Astyanax mexicanus: one gene and its partners. The protein of the gene in region 4 purifies or fractionates together with the protein of the main gene of each other region. This does not show direct contact. Links are inferred from orthologs where the notes say so. Each region holds a gene or a part of one and is shown on either strand. Other genes may lie near its edges.

The links.
Region 1: the proteins of med4 (region 4) and git1 purify together in Homo sapiens (affinity purification with mass spectrometry; 3 studies listed by BioGRID and IntAct, with this or other methods). This does not show direct contact. The link is inferred for Astyanax mexicanus from reciprocal best matches to the Homo sapiens genes MED4 and GIT1.
Region 2: the proteins of med4 (region 4) and polr2j purify together in Homo sapiens (affinity purification with mass spectrometry; 3 studies listed by BioGRID and IntAct, with this or other methods). This does not show direct contact. The link is inferred for Astyanax mexicanus from reciprocal best matches to the Homo sapiens genes MED4 and POLR2J.
Region 3: the proteins of med4 (region 4) and snap29 purify together in Homo sapiens (affinity purification with mass spectrometry; 3 studies listed by BioGRID and IntAct, with this or other methods). This does not show direct contact. The link is inferred for Astyanax mexicanus from reciprocal best matches to the Homo sapiens genes MED4 and SNAP29.

What each region holds. Positions count from the first base shown.
Region 1 is NC_064425.1:19,365,730-19,374,171, reverse strand, and holds the start of git1 (ARF GTPase-activating protein GIT1), read right to left. Parts: upstream 3,061-8,442; 5' UTR 2,577-3,060; coding exon 2,525-2,576; intron 1-2,524. UniProt on the Homo sapiens protein: GTPase-activating protein for ADP ribosylation factor family members, including ARF1.
Region 2 is NC_064408.1:29,549,716-29,557,012, reverse strand, and holds the start of polr2j (DNA-directed RNA polymerase II subunit RPB11-a), read right to left. Parts: upstream 3,061-7,297; 5' UTR 2,986-3,060; coding exon 2,933-2,985; intron 1,598-2,932; coding exon 1,508-1,597; intron 193-1,507; coding exon 18-192; intron 1-17. UniProt on the Homo sapiens protein: Core component of RNA polymerase II (Pol II), a DNA-dependent RNA polymerase which synthesizes mRNA precursors and many functional non-coding RNAs using the four ribonucleoside triphosphates as substrates.
Region 3 is NC_064419.1:75,492-82,969, reverse strand, and holds the start of snap29 (synaptosomal-associated protein 29), read right to left. Parts: upstream 3,061-7,478; 5' UTR 2,914-3,060; intron 1,097-2,913; 5' UTR 1,067-1,096; coding exon 821-1,066; intron 148-820; coding exon 1-147. UniProt on the Homo sapiens protein: SNAREs, soluble N-ethylmaleimide-sensitive factor-attachment protein receptors, are essential proteins for fusion of cellular membranes.
Region 4 is NC_064418.1:243,184-250,486, forward strand, and holds the start of med4 (mediator of RNA polymerase II transcription subunit 4), read right to left. Parts: upstream 3,270-7,303; 5' UTR 3,241-3,269; coding exon 3,161-3,240; intron 2,236-3,160; coding exon 2,169-2,235; intron 1,785-2,168; coding exon 1,614-1,784; intron 1,328-1,613; coding exon 1,270-1,327; intron 574-1,269; coding exon 487-573; intron 1-486. UniProt on the Homo sapiens protein: Component of the Mediator complex, a coactivator involved in the regulated transcription of nearly all RNA polymerase II-dependent genes.

The sequences.
Region 1 (8,442 bases), on a different chromosome or scaffold from region 4:
AAAATCTAATTTCCATAAACAGATTCCACAATTTCTATACATTGACTTACATGTTTCAGAGAACTATTCCTCTAACCCAAAGTTTGGGGCAGTGAGAGAGAAAATACAGGGTTAGGTCAAACTGAAACCTGCCTTATGAGAGACTACAATTCGATCTTTAGCCTTAATCTTGCTTAACATTATTTCATATACGTGCTCACACACTTCCGCATTGTTAAAGTGCAAATATTGCAACACAATATTGTGTTCTATAGCCACATAAACAATTTTCTTCCCACTTAACAAAACAAAACCAAACAAACAGTTACACTGCACAACACGTTGCTTTACATCCACCCTTTCACATTCACACTGCAGTACAACAATTATCAGCTCCTCACCAGCTGACGCACTCAGCCCCACTTTACACCACACCATTATATGCATTCCTCTGGCATGTCAAACGTGACTATTACACGCTCCTCAGCAGCAGCCAGGGAGCTGCAGTAATATGGGGCAGTAATGACAGAGCAGTAACAGAGTCAATCAAGTGCCCAAGACACCAGCTAAAACTCAGCACTGGTGCGGGAGAGTCAATGTTGTTGTCCTTAGTGCTGACAATGTATGCTGGTAACTGCATCATGCTAGAGGCAGACTGCAGGTAGAAGCTCAGGAGCTACAAATCAGTAGATGGGATGGTGCAGAGAGAAGGTGATCAGATGAGAGTGGGGACAGAAAGACAGAGGGACATTCCTGGAAAGAGAGCAGCTGTGGGGTATGACAGCAGCTGCCATTCTGCCCCCTCTTCCCTATGGGGCAGATGGGAGCTTCATAAGCAAGGCCAAGGCTCCACTGATCTTCAATAACCTGACTGTCATTAAGAGATGTTATATCAAAAGACAATGGGATGACAGCTTAATAAAATATGGTTTTACATAGTGAAAACAAAAGAGATATAGAAATATAAGAAATATAGAAACACTGCTTCCAATAGACAGGGTTGGAGAAATTAGTTATTTGCACTGGTATGTAGTGTGAACAGCTTGTAATTTTGTAAAGTGAAGACATATAGTAAAAACTCATTTGCGAATGTGTTTAAAGACATTTCTCTTGTTTTTATTCCATTGTGATTTAAGTGTGTATTTTTTTACTTAAATAAGAAAGAATTTTAATTGGCATTAGAGTCAGACTGATAAATAATATTCTACTAAAAGATTGGTAAACCAGATGTGCCATTATGGTCTTTTCACCTAAAAATGAGCTGATTTTGCAAAAGTCTTGTTCCAAAAAAAAATGATAACAGGATACTGAAGCCATAACAAGCCATGGTACATTCAATTTCAGCAATTAATATACTGTTTATCAATTGTTATAGTATACATGCCATTATAAGTGAATGTGGCAGACAATAAACTACCGAAACGTGACATTTTTCTCAAGTTTACTTAAGAATTAATTTAAGTTACGGTAGCTAACCTAGTTAATGGTAGCTAACCTATAGTAAAGTTTTGTGCTAAGGTTAGCTATCCAGCTAACTGTCTATGATGTGACAGAATAAGCAAATGTTTCTTAAATTATATGACGTTTTCAACAACAAATTATATCATGCATAATTAACTTTAGAATCATATTTAATGGATGTAACGACCAGGATGTAAACTCCGGTTAAAGACAGTGTCAATGACAGCTAGCTAGCGTTAGCGTTAACTGTCTAGTTTCAGTATTACTAACGCTACTAGCTACGATAGCTAATGCTAGCTAGCTAGGTTACGATGTAGATCGTCTACAGCAGCTAGCCTTAGCCAACTTACCTAGCTGAGCTAACTATTTATCTAGGTACTTAGTTATTTTTCGCCACCGTTATTGTGCAGTTATAGGCCAGGCATTTCTGATAAATGTCCCGCTTTGACATTTATAATCTAACGCTATATAACTAATTGAGTCGGGATACGCAACAGAGGTATGCTAGCTAGCTAAAATTAGCCAACTAGCTAGCTTGTTAACCTTAGCATTCTGAATAGTTACGCTTTTGACTGGATTAGCAGGTTAGCTAGAAGACTACGCAATGTGTGTTCATAACGAGTAGCTTACATGTTATATAGACTATATAGTAGCTAATTTATTAGACAGGTGAAAGGATAAATAATGTTAATGCTAATGTTACGTGGCTAGCGCGGATGCTAACAACAAGCAGAGCCCGATATATAAAACTCGCCATTACATTAGCCTGTAGCTAACCCCGTTTAACCAGTCAGCCGGCTAACTAACAGCTACAGAGTTTTCTGAAATAGTTAAACACAACTGCAGCCGCCTTATATACGGTCTAATGTTGGTGAATATGATGGACTCTTCATGTTAATATATGTTAAGGCCCTGGTCACTTTCTGGCCGAGGTTTGCAGGCCGTTTCTCCGTTTGTTTGTTGGCCCAGCAGCCGTGCTCTGTGTCTCTCCGCTCAGCGCCAGCTCGCTTCAGCCCACTAGACACAATGTTAACTAGCGCTAGCTAGATCCCAACAACGCCTTGATCCATGCATTTCAACCTACCTGGCGCACTGCAGTCGGCACACACCTCGCTCCTTTGGACTTTTCTGGACATGATAAACGCCAAATATACGGCGAGGCTTTACGAGATAATTTAAATATTCCAATCCAGTATCGGGGATGTTCGACGCTCCAGTTTAGCGACGACTGCAGCCTTGATGCCGCCCCTGAATGTCCGGAAGCCGGCGAAGAGCTTTCCAGGGCTCCCGGTCCTCACCCTTCTTCTCGCTCACGTCTTTTTTTCCTCCGTGTCCTCCCTCTGCTCCCACAGCAAGGAGTTTACGCTTCGTTAAAACCACACAAACACTCCCTTTTCCCGTTTGAATGAGAGTTAAATCACTCTCATAGGCTGTATAGAATATAATTTGGGGATTTTCCTCTATCCCACATTTATGTAGGTATTAGCCTGTTCTATCCAAGCCCCATATCCAGAGGCAAGCGGAGGGAAAAGACACGGAAACAACGTTTTATTTACATCCTGCACCCCACACACATTTGTAGGCTGTGGCAGGCTGCATACCGTCTCCCTCTGACGTCCTACTCTCTCGCCCCTAGTGTCAGCACATGGTGGGGTAGCAAGGAGGCAGCACACACATACTGTACAGATACGGTGGGCTTCAGGCTACTGTTTATGGGTTTAAACATGACTAATATAAAGCCTATAGCCCATAGGTTACTAGAAAAATCAGAAAATCAAGAGAATATTCCCTTTTTAATTTTTCCTAAAATTCTAGATGGAAAATTGGATGACAATCCATTATTCTTCACTGTACTGAATGACAAAAAATGAAATAGTTTTGAAAGTTTTACATTCTAATTCTATCTTTTCAATGTAAAATAAATTTTACCTTGAAATTGTCAAAATCCCCCAGTGAGCAAGACGACAGTGACAAGTAAAAACTCCCTTAAAGCTGGAGGAAGAAACCTTAGAAGAAAAAAAATAAGGGGGCCCATCCTCCTTTAGTCAATATGGACTGTATTTAGAGATAATCAGGTCAAGACTGAGATCATCTGGGGTTGTAAACAAATGTGTAGGATGGGACCACCCGCAATGCAGAGCGAAATGGTAATGAGGTGGTAATGACTGTGATAGGTTGCGATTGGCTAGAACTCACATCTACATGAAATGAACCAGTCTACATGAATGATTTTGGCATGTCATTGTATATAACTTATAGCTATCTAGATTGAACATCTAACTGGTCTTTGTTTTACATAGGAGTTAAATAAAAATAATGTAATATATCAATTTAAAGAACTTATAATAACTAATGTAATGATCTTAGAATAGTTTATAAGGGTCTAAAATCAATAAGGGGTAATAATAAAAAAGCCATCCATGTAAATGTCAGTGCAAACAGCTTTCTATCTCTCCTGCTTAGTATACAGAAAATCAATTAAAAGATCCCCTTCTTCAAAATCTAACACTGCCTGATAGCTGATAGCTTACTTGTATATCTGCTTATATGTGTTTAAGGCATTAGATGAAAACCTGGAATAATCCAATTTGTACATGATATAGGATGAGGCTGCAGAATCTCTACAATAATAGAAGAATATTGAATAATATTTCTTAAAATACTCTTTATATCACTTGAGCTATCAATGAATTCAATGCTCTAACAATAAAAAAACATTATCTGTGAAGGCCACAGGACTGTAAAATAAGCTTCTGCCTCTCTTCAACATTCTGTCGTGACTAGTCAGGCATTTATATGTTCTGAAAAAGTGTTTTTAAAAGGATTGCTAAAAGTATGGAGTGGATTTTTCTCCCCTAAAACAACAACCTTACACCTACTCTTTTTTTTTGTTACAAAATCGCCTACTCCACATTTATCTTCAGGGTTAACGTTACACATATATTCCATTTGTATTTCATGATGTTCTTTGGTTATGGGGGCTATAAACAGCTGTCTACATTTGCCTACTGCAAAGACCACCACCTGATTCAGAGTGGTTTAATACAAAATGCTTAATTCTGAAGAAATGAAGTCACAAACAATAGTGGTAATAGGAACCTAAACAATAGTCAGCTGAAACACTGAAATGGTCTTAATTTGCACTCAAAGAAGGTTTTTGCCATAAACTGATTGTTTCAGTGTAAAAAATAGTCCTCAAAAACTATTATTAGATAATAGTCCTCAAAAACTCACTATAAAAGACAACAAGAGAATAGTGGGCCATTGTTGGACATCCACATTCAATTCAATTCAATTCAATAAAGGCTTACCAATGTTACTGAACATGCAAACAATTGTAAAATATCCAATATTAGTGTTCTTTTTGTACATTAATTGTACTAGTATCTACAAACATCCTATGTTATTTAGCATAAAAGATATGAAAAATAAAAATCCATTTAAAAAACCTATCTAGCAGTGAGCTGTTGATACCATGGGAATTTCTGCACATTTTGTTGCCTCAGTTACAGAAATCTTTATCTCAATGGTCCATTCTGAGATGGCATGGACAGCAAGGCATCAAGTCAACTAGTTCCAGTTTTAGACACAGCCTCCTTAAATGTGAAGATGAAGTTGAGTGATGCATTAATCTGGTAGGGAATTTCACCTGAAAAGAAAAAAAAAGTGCTTCAAATAGTGACTTTATGTGAAACAATAAAATTGACCATAAGGTCTACAAAATGTTAAATGAGTGAAAAAATTAGGTCAATGAGGATTTGTATCTGTTTGTTGGTCTCAGAAATACATTTTCTTCATCACTGAGCACCTAAAAAAGGAGATGGAGTTTAATTTGAAATGCTGTGTTATCCATTTTATCCATCCAATTCTACAAAGGTCTGGGTCATTCTCGGTCAGGTATTGCTCAAATTAAGTGTTGCCTGGTCAAGTGTCTGATCAATCATCCACTGGAAAAGGTTCAGGGGAATAGCTGCTGCAATTAAGACAAGCAAGGAGGTCAGCTGCAGACACCAATGTTTAGAGGAACATCTAGAAACAGAGCTGGATTTTGAGGATGACTGACTCAACCTCAGGTCACATATTCTACACTTTACTGTGACAGAGCTGGTGACACCCATATCAGCACATTAAACCCCTCTCTTCATTAAGGGTTTAGATGAGCAGCCCAAAGGCTTAGGTGGGATCAAAAAATCCACCTCACCACTTTTCAACAGACCATTTCTTTGTTTTAATCTACTCTCCTGGCAGTCTAGTAGTTTTAGGCTATCCCTAGTTACTGGGAATCACTTATGCACTGGGGAATTGACTCAGCATCTTTCTTTTCATGTCATTCTGCAATCTTCAAGAGCCAGTAAGGATTTTTTTCATATTAAGGATGCTTTGTCTGATTTTCTTGACAGCATCACAACTCCCTTCACATAGCACATGGGTCTGTATTGATTTTCCTTTAACCGCCTTCCCTTCCAAAGGTATTCTGTATTATGTTTAGGTCATGGAGAGTGACATTAAAAAGCTAATGAACCTATGCTGTTATTTGTCCATCCAGGTTTCATATTATAAAAAAATGGACCCCTGAGAATATGTATTTATCACAGTGTTGTGAATGCTATTTAAAAGTGAAGTATTGGCAGTTGTTTCAATTAAGTCTGCAAATTGAAAGTGAATTTTGAAAGTTGGAAGTTGAAGTTGAAATCTGTCGTTTGGACTGTAATTTTGTGTATTCTGTCTCTGTCTCCTTTTTACTGCTTTTGATTTTTTGCTAAAGTGAGCAGGTGGTTTATTAAAAAAGACACAGTTTATACACACAGTACATTCAGGTAGTTCTCCGGGCACTGCTATCTTGAAATAAAGTCACAATAAATTGACTGAAAAGCATAGCTGGATAGGTAAGATAGTGTTTTTTTTTTTTGCATGAGCAACGTTATGCCACTATCGCTAGCTATTTTGAGCCTGTTGGAGCATTGGCTAAAAGTGCTTTATTTTAGAGTGCTGGGGGTGAAAGGAGATGGGCTATTTGGCAAAAGTTTGTACTCATTATCATGTTTCACTTCACCCCAAGTCAATTTGAGAACTTATTAAATAAAGGTTGTTTTAAGCCCTGTCCGGACAGGATTAGTTTTTTAGGTGGATGTCTATGAAAAATATTTCACACTTCTACTCAAAACTTCTGGGACCACCACAGGAGGACGAGTGAGTTTTTTGGCTTTCTCGTTCACATGACATCGCGTTAAGTAGCTCCTGCGTTTCCACTTGCTGTTGTGTTAACATGGTTCTCTGTGAAACCGTGCGCACAAAGTGTAATTACAGTGAGTAGAAGTGGATAAATAGCTATTTTATTAAATGCGAGGTGACGAAACTCAGAGATGTGCATCCGGACAGGACTAAAATTACCAGAGGATCACGTTGATCAGCAAAAAAATGTAAGGTAATTCAGCCAGAACCATGTAAACACGACTGTGAGTGGAAATGGAGGAGCTACTGAACGCAATGTCATGTGAACGAGAAAGCCAAAAAACCTCATGGTCCTTCATGGTCCTAAAATCGCAGAGGACCCCCAAAAAAAGAGAAAATTACCCCAGGACCCCCTGAGAAAATAATCCTATCTGGATAGGTCTTTAGGGTTTTTTTTTTCATCATCAGCTGGATAGGTAAGATAGTGTTTTTTTTTTTTTTGCATGAGCAACGTTATGCCACTATCGCTAGCTATTTTGAGCCTGTTGGAGCATTGGCTAAAAGTGCTTTATTTTAGAGTGCTGGGGGTGAAAGGAGATGGGCTATTTGGCAAAAGTTTGTACTCATTATCATGTTTCACTTCACCCCAAGTCAATTTGAGAACTTATTAAATAAAGGTTGTTTTAAGCCCTGTCCGGACAGGATTAGTTTTTTAGGTGGATGTCTATGAAAAATATTTCACACTTCTACTCAAAACTTCTGGGACCACCACAGGAGGACGAGTGAGTTTTTTGGCTTTCTCGTTCACATGACATCGCGTTAAGTAGCTCCTGCGTTTCCACTTGCTGTTGTGTTAACATGGTTCTCTGTGAAACCGTGCGCACAAAGTGTAATTACAGTGAGTAGAAGTGGATAAATAGCTATTTTATTAAATGCGAGGTGACGAAACTCAGAGATGTGCATCCGGACAGGACTAAAATTACCAGAGGATCACGTTGATCAGCAAAAAAATGTAAGGTAATTCAGCCAGAACCATGTAAACACGACTGTGAGTGGAAATGGAGGAGCTACTGAACGCAATGTCATGTGAACGAGAAAGCCAAAAAACCTCATGGTCCTTCATGGTCCTAAAATCGCAGAGGACCCCCAAAAAAAGAGAAAATTACCCCAGGACCCCCTGAGAAAATAATCCTATCTGGATAGGTCTTTAGGGGTTTTTTTTCATCATCAACCTTAGAAGAAATAATGCAAGCAAAAAAGTATGTTTATTCAGTGTTCTTTGCTATTAGAGTTTGAATAATAAGGTACATTTTGTATTGGATTAGCTTAATCACTGTATGGTAAATGTATGCCCCTTAGAGTTCTCCTTTAAAGCGATTAGTGCTTATTAGTGATGCTTGGAGAACGGATATCTTTGACCAATCAGCTTTTTGGGCTCTCCCTGCATATTTGAATACGCACTCTGGTGGAAGGACGCAGTGAGAGAGTGAGAGAGAGAGAGGGAGGGATGGAGGCAGAGAGGTGGAGAGAGAGAGAAAGAGAGAGAGAGCATCTATCTATCGCATGATCACTAAAAGGAAGGCAGCAAGTGAGGGACTGCGCTCATACAGGCGTCGATTTATTTTTACCTCCTTTTGGCTTGGAAAGTGACAGACTGCTCACAGAAAGAGAGAGAGAGAGAGAGAGAGAGCGAGGCAGGCGTACACAGATGGCGGTGGCTTTGAGTTAGCTGGCAAAACCCATCCTGTGTTCAGACGTTTTCGAATCTCGTATTTGGACTTTACTATGAGGAGTCTGTGCTGTTTATTATTGCACGAGGGGAGAAAAAAT
Region 2 (7,297 bases), on a different chromosome or scaffold from region 4:
ACCAGTGGTAAACTTACCCTAAACCTTTCTTCCAACAGTGACAACTCACTGATGAGGTCAGTGATAGCATTTGTGAAAGCTTCCTGAGGACTGTAATCTGGTGTTGTCTGCACACGGATCACAATCTTGTGCTCCAGTGGATGGGGCACTTTATACCCAGCAAACAGCACCTGAGGGTCCTTCAGTAGCTGTCTGTTAAACAGAAGGAAAACAGAAATATAATGCATTAAAAAAAAAAAAAAAAACAGAACAGAAACAAAATTGGTAATTAGGACATCTAGACACAGTGTGTATACACTAGGGTTGCAACGGTATGAGATTTTCACGGTATGATAACCGTCTCAGAAAATACCGCGGTATCACGGTTATCACGGTATCACAGTTTGTTACATATATTATTAAACTGACCCTTAAAGAAATTACAATAAAGGTTTTTGTTCAATTAACTATTTATTGTAGAAACCTGGAACAACTATATAGATAATGTCTCCTTAAAAAAAATAAACTGTACACCATTAGGTAAAGGAAACCAGGTTTTTCCACTACTCTTAAGGTCATTAAGGGTGTATATAATTATATATATATATATATATATATACACACACACACACACACACACACACAAACACAGGTGTCACACATTACATGTCCTCTAAGAAGTAAAGATCCTGTGTTTAAACTATTCAGTACAATTATTTAAGTTTAAATTATTTAATATCTGATAAACTGAGCCTGGGTCAGTGTCTGATCAACAACTGTTGTAAACGTCCGTTTTACTGCCAAGTTGGTATATAACCAGATAGAGGGGATTTATTTCTGAGTCTGGTTTTAACACATGAAAAACAGGCACGTCAGAATTTGAAAATTAACGCATGTAAATGAATGGCGTCTTTCACATCCAGTCCGGCGAGCACCTTTACACGGACACGTGAATCCGTCGTAGCACGCACTTCACGCCTGTACCTGCGTGCCCAAATTTCGGATAACTCAGCGCTTTTGCGGGCGCTTACCGCATGGGTTGTGCACGACTACAAAGAGATTTTATTTATGTTCAGATTAAAATTATAAACTAAACACATACTTTGCGCTGCACGGCGGGGTGGTGTTCTTGGAGATGGGAGAACAGGTTTGACGTATGTCCACCTTTAGCTGTGACTTTACGGCCACATTGATTATAAATCGGAAAACCATCCTCGGGTGCGTTCGGCGGGTCTCTGAAATAGTCCCACACTGCTGATTTTAGTTTAGCCTTTTTTTAGGCGGATGGAGATTTGTTTAGTCTGATGCACTTTCTGCCGTTCTCACCGCTGTGTGCTGAGCAGCTGAAGCGGAGCAGAGTTGCGCATGCGCGGGTGAGTTTCTCCGCTGGCTTGCGTTTTACCGGTAATAAGCAAACACACACGGTATGATAACCGTGCATTTTAATACCATGGTATACCGTGAAACCGGTTACCGCTGCAACCCTAGTATACACACCAAATCTTTAGGACAATAAAGTGATTCTTACGATCTGATGATGTTGCCCAGTGTATGGTCTTCTTTGTTCAATGTAAACAAACAGGCATTTGGCACCTTGGTATCCTTTGTAATTGTAATCCTTTAATAAAAAAAATATTACAATACTTACAGGTCAAATCATATAAAACAACAGGAAAGATAAAATAAATATATACATGAACTAGAAACAAGTGATGTACAATTTAAAAATATATACCGTACAAGTAAAACATCTGAACACACCTCTTTTTATTAATGCGTTTTATTCCTTTTCATGACTTTCACATTGTAAATGTTAATATTAAAGACATTAAAATAAACAGGAACACATGCAAAATGATTTTGTATTTATTCACATTTAGCTTTGATGACAGATTTTGCACACACTATGTGTCTTCATGAGGTAGAGTCACCTGTAATAGTTTTCTCAGCATCTTGAAGGAGTTTCTAAGGATGCTGAACAATAGTTGCTGCTTTTCCTTCAGTTCATCCCAAACCACCCATCTCAGTTGAATCTCGCAGTAAATGTGTAAGGAGTGGAGTAATAAAGTAATGCTGCAAGCACTAAATTAGCCTACAGTTAGTGCACAATAGAAATGAGTTAACTGAAGTTTCACTACATTGTGTGTAAACTGGTTGTGAAGAAGGAGAAAATAATTGATTTATTTCCTGTGTGTGATGAATGTATGTATGTATGTATACACAGCTCTAGGAAAAAAAAATAAAGAGACCACTTAAAATGATGAGTTTCTTTGATTTTACCAAATTGAAAACCTCTGGAATATAATCAAGAGGAAGATGGATGATCACAAGCCATCAAACCAAACTGAACTGCTTGATTTTTTGCACTTTTTTTTGAGGACTGGAATAAAGTTATCCAAAAGCAGACTGTTGGAGGGGAACATGCCATTATGCATAAAAACTGTAATTAAAAACCAGGCTTATTGCACCATATATTCGTTTCTGAACTCTTTAACACTTAATAATATGGACGTGTTTACTTTGCATTATTTGAGTTTTAAGAGCTCGGAAACGTTTTTTGTTATTTCAGCCATTTCTCATTGTCTGCAATAAATACTGTAAATGACAATATTTTAATTTGGAATTTGGAAGAAATGGTGGCCGTAGTTTATAGAAAAAAACAACAATGTTGATTTTACTCATATAACTTACTTATTAATATTAAAAATTGAGAAACTTAGGGGAAAAACAGGAAACATATCAGACTAAGTTCATTTACACCACAAAAATGGGGGCAATTCAGTTAAACTCAAAGATGTTTCACAAAATACCCTTTTCCCCAGATGCTAACCTAGCTATCTGGCTCTTCAGCTAACTATAACCTAGATAGGGAAAGTAAGGCCCGGTAACGTGGTAAGTAGCATTAGCTAAAGAGGATAGGCAGTCTTACACTACACAGGTCTCATAAACTTACTTTTTCTCCCCCTCAAACAACAGAAACGACTCGAAGGCCGGCGGAGCGTTCATCTTCCCTGTGAGTGAGAGCTAAGTGCTAATCTCTTAGCCGCGCTTTGGGTTCACACATCCTGCGCAACGTGATATGGGTAACGCCCTTCAAAATAAAAGGTTATATAGAATAAATATAGCATTAAACAAATAATTTCACTGAAGTGAACAAAGAACATACTTCTAATACATATTAATGTTATTTATTCATGTATTTATTATTACATGTATTGTATATTTTTATCATCACTGGAACAAAATTCAGGTCTAAAATGGTTAGACCTGCAGAGGACAGTGAAGCTTTTTTTTATTAGTCAATCGATTAAAATGAAAAATCCAATTAATCACAATAGAATTCTGCAATTAATCATGATAAATCACAATTTTTCTTCCTTAAGACTAAGCTTTTGATAATAGGTATTTAAATATGAATACAAAATCAGTGTCAGAAACACTTATTGGTGCCAATACCTTTATAATAATTGTATTAATTATTAATTAACTGGATTTTAGGGAAGGGGACAGTAATAATAATTATGTTGGTGGTGGAGTACACTTTACTGTATTATAATATATGCGGGTAGTTTTGGTGTTTTTAAAACTAGAATATTGTAAATTTCTGTAAAGTTCTATTGTAAGCTTTATTTTATGTTTAAACTTAATAAAACATAAAATAAAAAATCTACACAGATTTCTCTCCTGAAAACTGTTTACTGCGGCGCAGTAAACTCCCAGACCAATCACGGAATGGCATACTACTATACTGCGTACTGCATACTGCACTAGTATGTACTGCATACTACACACTGCCCAGTATGTAGTATTCGGTAATGTAACACTTTTGATTGTAGTACCCTACGCGGTCCTGCTGTGACACACCAGTCAGTGCTCTGTAGTGCTCTGAATTCCTCAGAGTGAGTTACAGAAACAACATGAAAAATGTCCTACCTTTTCATTATTAAAACTAATGAGATCTGCATACTGTCCAGAACAGCAATTGCTGCTTTTACTTTAGAGTTTAATGTAAGTGCAGTTAACCCAATTCTAACAACCATTTAGCAGCAGCCCCCACAACCCAAGTATGTTCCAGTTAAATATGTTTTCCTATTTATTTTAGTAAATTGCTATTTTCATCTATGTAAATACCAACAAGAAGAACACATTTAAACAAACTCTCATTCATATTTACACAATCTCAACAATAAAAGAAATGAGACATGTTGCACAAGTGAAACAATTTTATTAATTTGTATTCAAATCATTCCCTTATTTCAAAGAAAAATATGTATTAAAACTGAGGGAATTATTTATTAAATCAACAGAACGATTTATTAAGAAGGGAATTATTTATTAAATTAACAGAACGATTTATTGGAATTATTTATTTAAGTAACAAATGTATTAAACCTGAGGGAATTATTTATTAAAGTAACAAAATAATTTATTAAAACTGAGGGAATTATTTATTAAAGTAACAAAATATTAAAACTGAGGGAGTTATTTATTAAAAGAACAGAACAATCTATTGGAATTATTTATTAAATAAAGAGAACGATTTATTAAAACTAAGGTAATTATTTATTAAAGTAACAGAATAATTTATTTAAACTGAGGGAAACATTTATTAAAATAACAGAATAATTTATTAAAACTGAGGCAATTATTTATTAAAATAACAGAATAATTTATTAAAACTGAGGCAATTATTTATTAAAATAACAGAATAATTTATTAAAACTGAGGGAATTACATCAAGGCAGCACACAGCGGAGGGTCCCGGCCGCGGAAAGCGCTCGGCCGCGGCAGCGGAAGGTCCCGGCCGCGGAGAACGCGCGGCCACGGCAGCGGAGGGTCCCCGACGCCGAGAACGCGCGGCCGCGTCAGCGGAGGGTCCCGGATATAAGTGTGAAAGATATAATCAGATATGTTCAAAGTTTATTTTTGCCAAATACCAAGAGAATTAAACAAAGTTCCTGGGAGTAGTTTGACAACATACGAAAAAATGTGTGTAAAATGCAGATATTTTAAAATGGCCGACATCCTATTGGGTGGAGTCAGTCCTACCAATACTAAAAACGTATGTAATGCAGCCTCTTGTGTTTTTGCCAAGATTCATGAATTTTCAAGCATCTGTGTTCTGACCGTGTCATTGTTTCACTTTGGTTTATTGTTGCGTCTCTAGTAGATCATTTGCCCAACATTTTGTTACTGTTTCTCCGATCAATAATCCTTTTGGAATTTTTAATCAATTTAAATGAGTTCGTGAAAATTTGTAAAAATATTACAAATTCCAATATGGTCGACTTCCTGTTGGGCGGAGCTATTACAAGCAAATGGGAAATATGTGCAGGATCATAGGATCTATGTTCCTCTTAAAATTTGAAAAAAAAAAATGAAAAAATTAGAAAATTTTTGACACATCCACAGCATAAATTAGCTTTACTTTAAAAAAAGCTTTTACTTTTTCAAATTGAACCAATTAGGGGGCGCTGTAAAGTCCGCTAGCTACACATGAAAAAATTATCCATTAAAAATTAAGTCCCAGCACGCAACTGTATTACCCAGCAACACTAGTTTTAGTTGTCAAACCTCTGAAATCCACTGATTTTTCTATTCACCTCCTATAAAACATGCTGTCTGTTATGGTTCATGCTTTAAATTTGTTTTTTTGTATTTATAGCACCCTCTGCTGACCACTTTTATAATACTTGTTATTTGGATGTTTATTTGGATGTTAATTTTATCATTGGTTGTTGAGTCACATGGTTTTTGGTCACATGCTTAGAACGACCATTTTCTTTCAAACTAGTAAGAGAGGCGCATGTGTTAAGTCCTCTTGTGTATCCAGCTTCATCTTCCTGTGTAACCCTCTAAAGAAGCTTTGTTTGTAAGTAGATTTGTTCATTTAGGCTATTACTACGGTGGCTGAGAAAGCCCAACGCAGTGCAAATTGAAAAGCGCTGCAAAAGCACAAAACACATCCATCAAAATTACAACACAGGCGCAGCAAATAGAAAAACGCGCTGCAAAAAGAAAAACGCGCTGCAAATAGAAAAACGCGCTGCAAATAGAACCACAACACAACGGAAGTGAGTCACAACACAACGGAATTTTCCCGGGGGACCTTAAAAGATGCTGTACCAGCTAAGCTGCGTCTTCAGTAACGTCTCGGACTTCACTATGTGTACAAAGGACAATACGTGGCAAACAAGGCGTTTTGTGAAGCAGAACTTTTAATAATATGCACACAACCGTGGTAATCACAGGTAATAAACATTACTTACTTTTCAGAAGCTTGTTTGCCACTTAAGTTACTGTCCTTTGTATACAGCTGGTACAGCATCTTTTAAGGTCCCCCGGGAAAATTCCGTTGTGTTGTGACTCACTTCCGTTGTGTTGTGGTTCTATTTGCAGCGCGTTTTTCTATTTGCAGCGCGTTTTTCTTTTTGCAGCGCGTTTTTCTATTTGCTGCGCCTGTGTTGTAATTTTGATGGATGTGTTTTGTGCTTTTGCAGCGCTTTTCAATTTGCACTGCGTTGGGCTTTCTCGGCCACCGTATATTACTTACTATTTGTGCTTATTATTTAATTGGAACTGAAGGTATTCTTTGTGTATTTCATTTCAGTTTCACACTTTCTGTATGGAAGTACTCAGCTTCATTAAACGGACAAGATTACTTCATGCTCCTTCATCACTGAAGTTTGGTGCTTTATTCAAGTTTGCTCGAGTGTTTAGCTATCTGGTGATGTGTGCCTTGCTACGCACTCAGGTGCCAGAATACTGTCAGTGGCTGAAAGAAATATATTTTTCTTTATAATGTTACTTTAATTAAAGAGTTATGTGTCCTGAATCAGAATATAATAATAAAGTCCCAGCGCAAAACTGTATTACCCAGCAACACTAGTTTAAGTTCAGTCAAACCTCTGAAATCGACTGATTTCTACTATTCACCTCATATAAAACATGCTGTCAGTGGCTGAAAGAAATATATTTTTCTTTATAATGTTACTTTTATTAAAGAGTTATGTGTCCTGTGTCAGAATATATTGATTAAAGTGCCAGCGCAAAACTGTATTACCCAGCAACACTAGTTTTAGTTCAGTCAAACCTCTGAAATCTACAGATTTTTACTGTTCGCCTATAGTATAAAACATGCTGTCAGTGGCTTAAAGAAATATATTTTTCTTTATAATGTTACTTTTATTATAGAGTTATGTATACTGAATCAGAATATAATAATAAAGTCCCAGCTCAAAAATGTATTACCCAGCAACACTAATTTTAGTACAGTCAAACCTCTAAAATCGACTGATTTCTACTATTCGCCCCATAT
Region 3 (7,478 bases), on a different chromosome or scaffold from region 4:
CTCTGGCTTCCCTTTGAAATAATTAACCAGCCCCCCCCAAACGCTCTTAATGGAGTTTATGTGTCTCTGACTAGTCCTCATGTCCTGCTCCATATTATCCACCATTCTTTCCGTCCTCTTTAATACCTCACCTTGACGAATCAACTCCTGAGAACAGAGAGACGGCGTGATTAAAAAAAAAAAAAAAAAACGTGACGAGCCATAAAACACTTCTGAGGCAAGACCTCCAACAATGAGCCCTGCCTGTGCTCCTACAGCAGGTCCAACTCAAATAACAGAAATATACTTAAAACACTTCCTGAATCAGAAGAATCTGCCCCTTTGATTCCATCCAACAAAATTGCTGATCCGAACAACCAATGATTTATAAAGAAAAATCATTAAAAACGTTTCATACCACTGTATCTGTATTAATTGTTTATAAAAGTTTTATTCTATATACTCTTGGTGTGAATAAGTGTAAATACCAGCAATATACTAGTGCGAATCACATCAACAAGTTTTGCACTAATAAATGCAAGTATTAGATGATTCTGTTACAGATTCTGCTAAAACAATCAAAAATACTGTATACAAGCAGATTAAGGCCAAACACTGTTTTAAATATTTCTAAACCTGTGTCACATGATTTACTAAGCAGGAATAATGCAAATAGCCAGGATGTGTGTGTGTGTGCTTTTTTCACTTGGTGAATCTTCACAAGATATACGCAGAAAAAATAAAAAAAAAATACTTTTCAGATTATCTCTCCAAATTTGCTCTGCGTTACATGAGAATTGAAAAAATTCCCTTAGACCCCCGAGGTTTAAGAACATCTCACCTCTGCTGTCTCTGTCCCAATCTTTTCTGATTCATAGATGAGGCCGAGAGAGCGATAGCTACTGTCCACCGCCGACTTCGCCGTTTGCATGACCTGCTGCTCCAGCTGCCGCTGCCGCCTCTCCGCAGGACTCAGCTTACTCTCCTCTTCTTCCTCATCGTCAAAATTAAAGCCCCTCCTCGGCCCTGCTGGTTCCTCTTCATCATCATCGGCAAATGGATTGTGGGATTTAGGATACGCCGCCATCCTCCGACCACAGCGGTGTTCTGTAAGCGACTGTGCAAGAAAAAAAAAAGTTTTCCTCGGCTGCACACTAATAACATGTTCTTTCACATCAGTTACCCTGTAAACAGCGTCACCCACAAAGCAGATAACCTTAACCCTCCGTTCTGAAACAGTTCACAGGGGTCGTGAGGGTGATTCTACTTAAGGGCTGTTTCTCTGCAAAATGTACAGACAATCATATCTAGACATTATAAAGAGTTTTCCTTTAACTGAATCAGACCCACTCATTAGACACTCTATACTTTATACATCTTAGCACAAACTGATTCAGATACATTAATGTAGGCTGTGGGCTTGCACATCCAAATTTGTTTAAAAATGTAGTTCTGTTTAGAATGTAGAATTGGAAGCAGTAATGTAAGAGATGATGTGCAAAAATGTCTATATGTCTAGAATATATATTTTTATCAGATTTTATCAGTTTGTCTCTTCCCATACAAACTGACAGAAGACTGGTCTTTCATCATTGAAAATAAGCACCCAGTCGTGTTGCAAAGATTTGTGAAATATTTCCAAAATACTTCCGTTCATTAAAAAGGTTAAGAACCCCTGCCATAAACCCAAAGCCTGTCCAACAGGAGAAGATGTAAAACATTTATTTTGAACAGACATTATTTAACAGGACTGGGACTGAAGACAGGATAAACCAGCTTCCTTCCTCTGCAGGGTGTAGTTGGCGATGTCAGCACTGTATACAGGTTTTAAAACATCCTGTTTCGTGAAAAATCTGTTGTTGCATCATAAAGAAAAAATGAATAAAGCTATGGTGGATAATCATTACAGTTGGCACACCAACACAACATTAATCAATTCTAGCTGATTGTTCTCCTCTAAATGTCCCGTTAGATAGTTAGTCTAGTGTTGTGATCAACTCAAAATATGCCTCAGTTTACTGGTTAGTCACTGGTTAGAAGTTGATGAGTTGTACATTTTCAAAGGACAAAACTTAAATAAAACAAGCACACCAATCTTGGATTCTGATGCATGTTTTTTATAACACCAGTATGATGTAAGCTAATCACAAATAATGTTGATGATTCATAGATTACACACACAGTGTACTTTATGGAATAATTAAGCATCTGGCCTTCTGTCACAAATCCTTTAATAAAGACTAAATTTATCAGTTAAATATAATATCAGCTGCTTATTATAGATAGCGTTATATACTGGATTTTTAGCTAGTTTAATAAAGCCTCATTAACTAGAACATCTTAGTAAAACGTGTAATTTAGTTAATAATAATCACGTGAATTACACGGAATGTAACGTTAGCTAGCGTTAGCTAACAGCTTAGCCTCGTGTCTGTTCGCTTATTATAACATTAAGTAACTTTTCTTACCGCCGGAAAATAAAAACAGCGATTATATTCTGCTGACTCAGTTAATGTGTAGCTTGAAACACATTAAAAGTGCTGTCATGAAATGAAAACAGCTAAAAGCCGCGGTTAGATATCAGCTATTAATAGCTCTTCTCTGGCAAATTAGCGTTAGCATTAGCTTAGCACCGCTGAGTTAACTCCGCTAACGCTCCCTAATCTAATCTAATGTAGATACTGTAGATGATGACGGGTTCTAGTAAATTAACCGCATGTTCAGTGACAGGCAGGTAGTTACAATATGATTATTTATCCATGTTAATATAAATAAATCACAAAAACGATCAATTCCAGACAACAGTAATCCAACAGCTGAATATCTGTGGGTTTAAATAACAGCTGTTAGCTTGCTATGCTAACCCTGTTAGCGAGGCTATGTTAGGTTACTGAAGTTACACCGAATAAACTAAACTAAATTTAAAAAACTCACCGATATAACAGAATAATGTCCTCCTGTAACTCAGCGATGCTGCTGCTGCTGCGGGTGTAACGGAGTTCGGCGCGCCCCCACTGCGCTGTCCCGCTCACTGAGGGGTGCTGTATCCCGCTGTGTTCCCAGGAGGATCAGGTGACCCTAAACTTCCTCTTTCTGACTCGCCGTAATGACGTCACACCCGCGCCACAAACGCTCGGGTACTGTGATGATAATAATAATAATAATAATAATAATAATAATAATAATAATAATAATAATAATAATAATAATAATAAAAGTCTATTTTAATTATATGATGTTTTATGACAGCTGGTATTTAATTTGATGCATTGCTGCCACCTTCAGTATTTCCACATGTATCACTAAACATATTAAAAGTTAGAAGTTGAGAGGTGTGTAGTGATGAACTCTGAAGCTCTGAAATTTCACGGTACCACAGTGCTGGAGTTCACGGAGCTCCTGAGAGAGACCCGTTCTTTGCAGTGAAGGTGTATGGAAATAATTATTATATCACGTCATCATTTCAGACGCAGTGTAATGTAGAGAAAACACACAGTCTGTTTCCATATAATAATTTATTTAAACATCTCAGGCTGTATCCATCCAAAAACAGTGCAGGATAGAAAAGATTCAGAAAAATGACAAACATGTAAACGAGTGTACAAATATTAAAATCACTTCACAATCTGTTCAACACTGAGGCACATACTGTAAACAAGCTGTGATTGGTTAAATAGGACCTCGGGCTGATCTGGTTCTGATTGGTGTGTATCTAACAAATTTTCACAGGCTGAAATAGTCTGTAATTCTCACCCAGCAGGGCAGGATGGAGTATTTCTAAAACCTTAAAAAAATTTATATGATTTTATTAATCACTGATTTAAAGACCTTCAGTCTTGGTGAACAATGGTTCACAACTGAACACAAACTTAGTGCAGTTAGCAAGTTACAAAGCCATCAGTCAGATATGATGCACAGTATTTTATAGACATATCAATGTACATATTTTTATATTTAAATTAATGTAAATCTCTTATTAATTATATTTAGTGCTCGTATTTTAGAAAAAGCAATTTCAATCTCGAAAGAGAAGCAAGAAACTGGGATTTCTTACAGCAAGACTCAAATGCCAGGTGTCATCATAGCAAGTGCACAGAAAACAGCATTCAGTGATCAATCGTATGTTTTGAGACTTTAAAGAGATGAAAGCTACAAACTCTTGATAAGTCTGTAATGTTGAGGCATAATAAACTTCAGTGGGTAGCACTTTATTTCACAGTATGTGAGTAATTACTATTTAATAGGTAAATAGTAAGAAGCAACGCAATGGTAACTACTAGTACTGGCAACTGATGCTCTGTGATTAATTAATATTTCTTAATCATTTTCATCACTTTTATTATTATTATATTTTATATTTTACATATTATATTTTAGCACAAATCTCTTCTTATATATTTTCTGCACTGGCGTTTTTTAAGTCAAAAAATGACCGATTAGCCCATTAGCTAACGGGCAATGCTAACTTTTCCGAGCTGAATTAATGGCTCATGTTTGATAACAGATAAATGGAGCTGTGCTGGTTTTGGGGTTTGATAACAGATTAAATAGTAACTGTTCTCTTATTGTCTTATTCAGAATGTAGATACAGTATATACTAGTGAATTTGAATATTTAACGTGTATGAAGCATGTGTCCTAAAACCTGGCAGCTGGTAGTTTTACTAGTAGTTACCACTGCCTTACTAAAGTACCGTAAAATCACTAGTATTGTTACCTTTAACTTATTTACATATTACATACTAGTCACTTACCATACTGTAGAATAAAGTGCTGCCCTTTACTGCGCTGTTTTTCTCACACACTGAAGCCATGCAGTTAACAGTACATCAGCAGGGCAGCGCGGTTTCAACCAATAACCATTTTAACCATTTCTCTCTACAAGTCTACATGAGGCACATTTTATTTTTTTTATGTAAAAAGTTGTCAAAATGAAAAAAAAAAAAGAATATCTGAAAGGGAGAAATGGTTCATATATGGATATTCATTTGAAGAACTCAATAAAAGATTAAAAACTTGCAAGTGCATTACAGGCGTATAAAGTGCAGAGAGTACTGAACAAACAGGCAATCAAAATTCCACAACAAGGGAGGCAAACATGTTAAAACTAGGGGTGGGATCACAGGGCATCTCACGATACAATATCACGATACACTGCCCACAATAACGATAAGATCACGATACTGTGATTCTGTGATAGTCGATAAATCACAACACAATTCTATGATCTTTCACATCGTCTGTGTTTCTGAAGAGAATAAAATACTCCTAAATAATCAAATACCAGGAATTATAGATTTATTGGTTCAGTTTTACACAATTTAGCAACCGATATTCTTCACTGAAGGTTTTGTTAACCCTATTCATTAGATTATAGCGCCACCATGTGGAATGAAGCAGTAACTTTAGTAACTCCTCTAATTGAGGGCGGGGCTTAGGGGGTTTAGAGCGCCTGTTTCAATAAATAAAAAAAAAAACATATTTGATGAATAATGTATCGCAAACAAAACAATAGAATATATTGATTTTGATATTTTGTCCCACCCCTATTTAACACTGTGCATTAACACTCTATGTGCGCACACACACACACACACACACACACAGATGTAACAGTTCTTCCATAAAACATACATGAGATTTTAGTAAGGGTCCAGCTGTAACTGTACTGTCGGCTGTCAGCTCAGTACGGGATTTGGTTCTGGTAATACTGGATCATATCATAGGTTTTACTCCTAAAAAAAACAAGAATAAAACACATTATACTGTGTTTGTACTGCTGTACATCATTCTTCTCATTTTCAGGTTCAGTTCTTGTGAGAGAGAGTAGCACAACTCCATTAAATCAGACGGGTTAGTTTGCTCCCTCTTGATGTGGTTCGTTTTGACAGGTGTGAAAACAGTAATGGCGCTCACAGTTTTGTGATGACTCTGTAATGTGCTTTGAAAATGTTTAATAAAGTTTATTTTAAAAAGAATACCACTCCGGTGTGGATCAATACAGTCGAACCGAGACCCGTGAGAGGAGGTAGTCTTGGTCCGGTTCTAAACAGTTTGTTTGTGGTGGGAATGTGATTTAGCTTTGATCTTGTTTAAGCTGAACGGCTGTTTAAGTGCAGTTTAACCTGATATATTATGCAGATAATTATTACAGCTATTAACTAACACTGTCTCTGCTGCTCCTCAGTGATAAGAAGTTTTCACACTGAACTCCATTTTCTGATGCGACTGCTGAAGATTTACGCAATAAATAAAAACAAAAGTCTGCGTCCTGTCTCACTGTAATCAAACAATTAGCAGAGACATCATCACATGAATTTCCGTTTTCCATGTGTGAAACCAAATCAAACCAAACCAAACCAACTTTCAAACTAAACGACCTTCTTAACTAACTTTAAGTGTAAAAAAAAACCTGTGTGAGACCGACCTGCTGCTGAGAAAGCAGTTCTGGATGACTTTAATCATGAAGGCCGCTGCTTCCTTCTCACTCATGCTGGGGTTAAATCGCTGCCTGTAAGCAAACACACACAAACATGGGTTTCTTTAATAATTAATTTCTGATTTTACCCTCTTTTCTCCAATTACACAATCTCCAGTCATATGAACTTCCCCTCTGCCTCCTCAGACTCCACCTCTTTTTTCCCCGGCTGCTGATGTCTGGCAGCTGGATTCTGCACTGGAACAGTGACCCTCAGGTCTGACAGTGCATTTATCCACTACACCAACCGGAGCCCCCTCACAAACGACTTTTCCTTAAACACAAATACACTAAGTTGTTGTTTATGTGCAGTAGATTAATTTACTTCAGCAGTTTGATGGTTTGACCACGGAAACACGGAAGACCGGTGTCTAACATGAGCGTCACCAAGGAGACCACAGCATCCATATACGGCCTGTAGAGAAACACACAGCGTTTCAGCACAAATTCACTCATTATAAACAAGCAAACAAGTAAACACAGCGTGTACATCTCTCACCTGACGGCCAGGTAGCCCCGCACACACATCTCCATAAACCATTTGAAGGGTGTGGCTTCCATCTTTCCTCCCATGATCATCACCATCTCATCAGTCAGCTTAATGTCCGGCTCCCAGCCCAGGTTTCCTCCAGGAGAACTCTCAAACATGAAGCCAAAGTCTGGAGAACACACGCACGCACGCACACACACACACGGTCAGGATGATCACAGACAGTTGGCTGTGGAATATTTAGCATTTAAATTTTATGACTGGACTTGTTGCACAGGTGCTGCATCCTATTCTTTCACTAGTGTTTGTAGAAGCTGCAGGAGGAGCTGCTGATTTTATTAAACACCTGTGGAGACGGAGGAGATTCAGGAACACCTGAGATCGGTGATTTGTACGGGTGAGTGAATAATTTTGGTGAATATAGTGTGATATAATAGTTTTGGTGAATATAGTGTGATATAATAGTTTTGGTGAATATAGTGTGATATAATAGTTTTGGTGAATATAGTGTGGTATATTTAGCTGCACTAAG
Region 4 (7,303 bases):
GATTTTTATATGGAATACTGTTGATGGAAAAACAATGTTAAAATTATTTTTGGGGACTATTTTTATAACACAACAGCCATATATATATATATCCCTCAATCATTTTCAGTAATGTGTCATTTTAGAAATGCTTAGAATCCAGTATTTTAGGAATCAGGGAGTTATGTTTAGATCTGTTGAGTTTACTGACCAAACTGGAATCTACTAAATCTAAACCACTACTTGAAGAGTAGGAAAGTTGGAGTTAAGAAGAGGGAGGACTTAATCCATGCTCATTTAGTTGAGAGTCTATTTTGTTGAAGTTAAAGTTAATCCTAAATCATGTTAAATGTCGTAAATCGATGGGTTTTATAATAAACAGCAATAAACAAAAAAGTGGGGAAACACTAAAAAGAATTATGCCGGTGTGAACCCAGCAAAACAGCAAAAGATGCTTGAGATGGAAAAATAAGGAAAAAGAAGTAAATATATATATAAAATTAATACCTGGAACCCAGTTAAGAGGAGCACACACTGCATTACTGGCGCTTATCCTGTGCGCATACTTAATTATTTCCTCTGAAGAGATGCTGCCTGCAAAATAAACACAAACAAATTATTATTAAACCAAACATTTAATCAGAGCTACACAATCATTAATTCAGAGGAAGTGTGAGCAGAGACTCTTCATTTACTGATCACAAACGAGACGGATAATCAACAGCTAATCAGTATTTATATTAAACAAACTAGTCCAGTGAAAGGGAGATAAAACTGTGATGTTATAAAAGTGTTCATCATAAAAATAATACACTGATTGATATCGCCTATGACTTTTCTCACACTATTAAATGATATGTTGACCTGCAGGATCCTGTATACGTGTGGGATCTCCTGCACTGAATGTGGATGTGATTTCTGAGGCGCTTCTCTGTTTGCACTGATAATTCCGGTCACTGTGCTGTCTACTGTAGGTGGTAATGGCTTCTATGGCCTAGATAGAGATTGTGGAATGTTTAACATCCACTCACTTTGTCTCATCACTGAGCACATGGGCCAGTGTCCAACCTCACCCACAAGATAGCACCTCACAACGTGTACATGCAGGAATTCCCAAGTAATCCTCTAAAGTAACTCCTCAAGATTAATATCTATACTGCTGTCCCATTAATTTAGGCATGTTACTGTATTTTATTACACAGTGTTAATATTACAGTGGTGTGTGTGTGTGTGTGTGTGTGTGTGTGTGTGTGTGTGTGTTCCTGCTGTGTTCAAACTGAATTTTAGTACCTTTTCTGGCCTTTTCGATGGACTTGAGCTTCTCTTTGGCCTGGTAAACAGCCGTCGCCTGGAGGAGAGAAGATATTCAATTTTATATAAACCCTGATATAATATAAATATAATATAAAGATAAATAAAGAAATGTTTAATGTCTGTGTTTTTAGCAGTCAAAAAAAAAGCTCCACAGATAAAAGAACCTAAATGTAGTACCAAAAAGTTTTAGTTTGTTTAACACTGTTTTTAAGTTACTACATGATTCCTCGTGTGTTCCTTCATAGACTAATAGATCACTTCACTATTTATTTAAAATAAGAATATTAAACAAGAACATCACTACTGAAGATCAGCCTCACCAGGATGTGCTCGGCCTCTTTCAGCTGTTTCTGCAGCAGCTGAATGTCACTGTCTCTCTTTTCTGCTTCTTTCTCCAGCTGCTGCATCTCCTGATGGATCCTGCCCTGTTCCACCGCCGTCTGCATCAGCTCCTGAAACTCCTTATCCCTCTGAACCAGCAGCTCCAGCACCTGCGTATACACCACCAATATATAAACCATATATAAACACAATCTGACAAAGCACAAAAAACTGCTGCTAAACACAATAAACATAATTACTAATATTTACAAAACAGGAGAAAATTATATAAGCAAATATTTTAATATGATGTTTATGGAATATAGAATATGCTGACTTTTATGCAAATCATCAGTTCATTTAAGATTTTTAATAAATGTGTGAGATTTCTAATTTCCTATTCATTTAAATATATGTTCATCTAAAAGTTAATGATTAAAGTTTAATATCATAACATTTTCCACAAACTACAGCATCCCAGAATCAAACCTAAAATAAATATCTGTAAAGTGCATTAATCAAACTTTAATTTTCACACGAGACACACACTGTACCTGAGTGTCCTCTCCGGGCTGCGGGAGCTTCTGGGTTCGGGACAGAGCGAGCATCTCTATCAGCTCTCTGCAGAAACAAACACAAAAAAACACAGATATTATACAACAGCAGGTTTTTCCCTTTTGGGTCTGAACTTATACTCTTTCTTACAGGGTAGAATTTCATAAATAATTTTCCAACAAAAGTCCAGCATTATAAAACATGATAAGTATACACTTTTGCAAGTACATAAACTTTGTAATTTTCAGTGAATTTATTAGTATCTGATCTGTTCATATAAATTAAAAGTGGTGCCCGATAAACAAAAACAAAGATTAATGTTGTGAAGCCTGCACACGCAAAGAGGGCCTTCAATTAAAAATGGCAAAAAAAATAAAATAAAATAAAAAAGAATCAAAGAGCGAAACCATCAAACTCAAACAGAAACAGAACTCTGTTAAAATCTTAAAATCTAGCCTGATTAACGAATCGACTAAGCTGATTTACATTAAAGCCAGAACAGCTGCTGTACTGATGGGAAGCTTTTATTCATTCATTCATTTTATTTATTTATGAGGGACAAAAAAAACTAATAATCGATTTACTAATTATTTTATTATTTTACAATAGTTTATAAGTTATTTATATATTATATAAATTCTTTTTTATTTCTTTTAATTCTGAAAAATAGAATACAAGCAGTCAGTAACAGAACCGCTCAACTAGAATTTCTTTTCTACCCGTATTCAGACAGGTCCCGCCCCCTGCCTGCTCTCATTGGGCAACAGACCGGCGGAATATTTGATGACAGCGCTACCAACCAATCGAGGCTATGAGACATAAACGCCACCAGCCAATCAGAGCAGAGGTGTGTGAAAACAGGCGGGATGAGCAGAAGTGCTGATCAGTAAACAGTCCCGCGCGCTCTCTGTGTCTCTCAGAGCGGAATAAATAATCACACATCTGATAAATAATCAATAATCCCTCAGATTAATTTCGTATTATCACTCACCGCGATAAAACCTCCATATCACTGAGCGCAGAGAGCAGCTTCTCCTTAGTGCTCCTCTCCCCCGCCGCCATCGCGCTCATTTCCCCTCACACTGAGAGAGAGAGGAGGAGGGGGGGGGGGGGTAATAGAGCTTTAATCACAGCGCCCCCGCGCGGAGGGAGGATCTTTTGGTGTTGCTAAGAGTCACGAGGTTCAGCGGAGCCAGCCAATCAGACAACAGGTATGGAGAGAAACACCACCTTAATATTTTTGGGATGTAAAAGAAAAAAATAGAATTGCACTGAAAGAAAATTCCTTATTTTATTGTTTTTTTTTTCTAAGAACAATTCTATTTGAAAAAAGAAATAAAAAAGAAAGAACTAGAAAAGATGTCTAGTGAGGGGAGAATTTTTATTTTATTTTTGTATAGTGGCTGCTCCTTTTTAACCTGAAAAATATTTATTTTCCTAATGTTAAGGCAAACTTTGATTTCAAGTCAAGTCAAGTCAATTTATTTATAGGCACATTTAAAAGACATCAAGTGTTGTACAATAAAACAAAACAAGATTTAAAAGAAAGCAAATCAGTGGTAAAACTATTAAAAAAAACAGTTTTTAACTGTTCTATTGTTTCTAAAAAAAATGTTGATTGTGATAATAAAGTATTTTGTTGCCCACCTCTAACGTTCACATTACCAGGCTGAAGTGACTCACATCTGACTTATGTGGCTCAGATCTGATTTTTTCATGGCTGTGTGAATGTGCCAAATCTGATTTTTTCAAATCAGATTTGATTCACCTTCATATGTAATCCTAAATCAGATACGTATCCACGCATGCAACATGCAACATGAATGTGAACGGTCAAATCTGAATTCATTCGTCTTTTTGCTTTTATGCATTAGCATTAGCGCTACGTGTTTCTCTCTCGTACCCACACTGCATCTCTTGGTGCAGCTGTGCAGTTATAGCTGCAAAAATAAAACAGCAAAAGCAAACTACCTGTCCTTTTTTCACCTCCTGGACCTGAGCATGAACTTCAGAGCAGCTGTTTACTCTCCACTACAGCAAAAGATGCTCCACATATATATAGAGGTTGACTGATTGATATGAAGAATAAATAACTATAAAAAACTCTTTCTGACTGGAATCATCTTAACATTTATATAACACATATCTTACAGATCACTGTAAATCTTGATTGACAAAAAAAACACATTTACAGAAAATAAATTGTTTTATTAAATGTATTAAATGTTTTAATCATCTGAACCTAGATGCTATGTGTACAGAACACAAAACAGAGTATAGATTTCACAGCAGTACTAAATTTTATGGTGACACAGTGGCAAAAAACTCCCTTTAAGAGGAAGAAACCTTGGAAGGAACCAAGACTCAGTCCGTGGAACCCATCCTACTCGGGTTGACCCGCTCAGTACAAACAAACAACAAACAACAAACAGAACAAAAACAGTACAGAGAATTAATGTGAACTATGGCTAATATAACAGGTACTAATTTATGAATATAAGAATGTGATGGGCACAAACTATAGAGCTATGGCTAATACAGAAACAGATACTGAGTGTGTTAATGGTAATCAGTGCAGGGCTGCAGAGCCGGAGAACAACACAGCGGGCAGTGGAGAGCCAGGCTGGGAACATCAGGAACAGCATCTCCATACATGTAAAAGAGATAGATAGAGAAAACAGAAAGGAAAGGAAGAGAAACAAAAAGCAGGAGTTAGAAAGGCTGTGTAATAATTCTGATGAGTAGAAGGACAGGGCTGATTCCTGAAAGCTGGAACCACAGACGGACACATCCAGGAAGACCGGCCGGCCAGGCGTCTCAGCACATGTGAGAAAGATAGAGAGAGAGAACAGAGAGGGGAGGGAAGAAAAAGGGGTTAGAATGGTTTTATAAAACTCTGCTGGAGTGGGATGGGCACTGGTAGCAGCAGCTCAGGACATGGGGAGAGAAAGAGAAAGCAGATGATTAGGACAGGGTTTATATTTGCTGGATAAGCTGTAAGAGGAAGAAAATTGTAATGAGACATTACTCAAAAGCTTGAGCAAATAGAAATGTTTTGAGTCTAGATTTAAAGATTGAGAGTGTGTCTGAGTCTCGTATATTAATAGGGAGGCTATTCCAAAGTTGGGGAGCTTTATAAAAGAACGCTCTTCCTCCTGCATAGTTTTTTCTAATACGCGGGACTAATAACATGCCAGCGTCTTGAGAGCGGAGTGAACGCGGCGGATTGTAAGGAGTAAGGAGTTCCTGTAGATAATGCGGGGCCAGACCATTGAGGGATTTATACGTCAGGAGAAGTATTTTATAATCTATATGAAATTTAACAGGTAGCCAGTGTAGGGATGAAAGAATAGGTGTAATGTGACCGAACTTTCTAGCTCTGGTAAGCACTCTTGCGGCTGCATTCTGAACTAGCTGGAGTTTATGGAGTAATTTATGTGGACTTCCAGCCAACAACGCGTTGCAGTAGTCCAGCCTGGAGGTTATGAATGCATGTACCAGCTTCTCAGCATCTTCCAGAGAGAGTATACTGCGGATTTTAGCTATATTTCTTAAGTGGAAGAATGCAATTTTGACTATGCTACATATGTGAGCATCAAACGAAAGAATTGGGTCAAAGATGACCCCAAGGTTTCTCACAGTTTTACCAGGTATAATTAAGTGACCGTCTATGTCTACAGTATTAACATTTATGTTTTTATCAATATTAGGACCTAATAGAAGGACCTCAGTTTTATCAGAATTAAGTAAGAGAAAGTTGTGTGTCATCCAATTTTTAATGTCTTTAATACAGTCTGTTATTTGATTTGTACAGAGCTCCTCGTTGGGTTTAGCAGATATGTAAAGTTGCGTGTCATCAGCATAGCAGTGAAAGTTAATACCATGCCTACGGATAATTTTACCCAGTGGTAGCATATAAAGAGTAAAGAGTAATGGACCCAGTATTGATCCTTGAGGGACACCATATTTTACTCTAGACTGATAAGAGCATTCGTTATTTAAGTAAACACACTGGAATCGATCTCTCAGATAAGATCTGAACCAGGTGAGGGCTGATCCTTTAATTCCTATAAGATTTTCTAACCTATCAAGTAGAATAGCGTGATCTATGGTGTCAAAGGCAGCACTTAGATCTAGCAGTACAAGGATGGCATTACTGCCCCTATCAAGAGCTGAAAGTAAATCATTAGTTACTCTAAGTAGAGTTGTTTCAGTACTATGGTTTTGTCTAAATCCAGATTGAAAAACCTCATGCATACTATTACTTTGTAGATACAAGCGCAGCTGGTTAAACACAATTTTTTCTAGGATTTTGGCTATAAAGGAAAGATTAGAAATTAGTCTATAATTAGCAAGCTCGCGGGGGTCCAGATTTGGCTTTTTGATAATGGGCTTAATGACCGCCAATTTAAGAGAATTGGGTACGTAGCCCATGCTAAGGGATGAATTTACTATTTCTAGTAATGATTTTCCCACCTTTGGCAGTGCCTGTTTCAATAATTGTGTGGGTACTGGATCTAATATACATGATGTTGATTTTGATGAGTTAATTACACTAAGTAAATCTTTTTCTGTAACCGGGCTGAAACACTCTAGGTGTGTCTCAGAGCTGGAGCAGCATTCATTAATATCTATAAGTAAATTTTGGGGGTGATACTGAATTTTTTGTCTAATGCTATTAATTTTATCATCAAAGAACTTCATGAAATCATTACTATTAATGTCGACAGGGATAACGGAGCTAGTTTGTTTTTGACTGCCGGTGAGTTTAGCCACAGTAGTGAAAAGGAATCTAGGATTGTCTCTATTTTTCTCAATAAGCGATGAAATATACTGGGATTTTGTTTTAATTAGGGCTTTTTTGTAGTCTGTGAGACTATGCTGCCATGCTAGCCGGAAAAATTCTAGTTTTGTGTGTCGCCATTTACGTTCAAAGTTACGAGCGGTTTGTTTTAATGTACGTGTGTGGTCATTATACCACGGTGCTAGCTTTTTATCCCTGATTTGTTTTATTTTTGTCGGCGCTACGCGGTCAAGGTTAGAGCGGAGCACAGTTTGTAGATTTTCTGTTTTGTGCTCGAGATCATGCTCATAGGACGGAAGGGAGATGGTTAAGTCGGGGAGATTATTTACA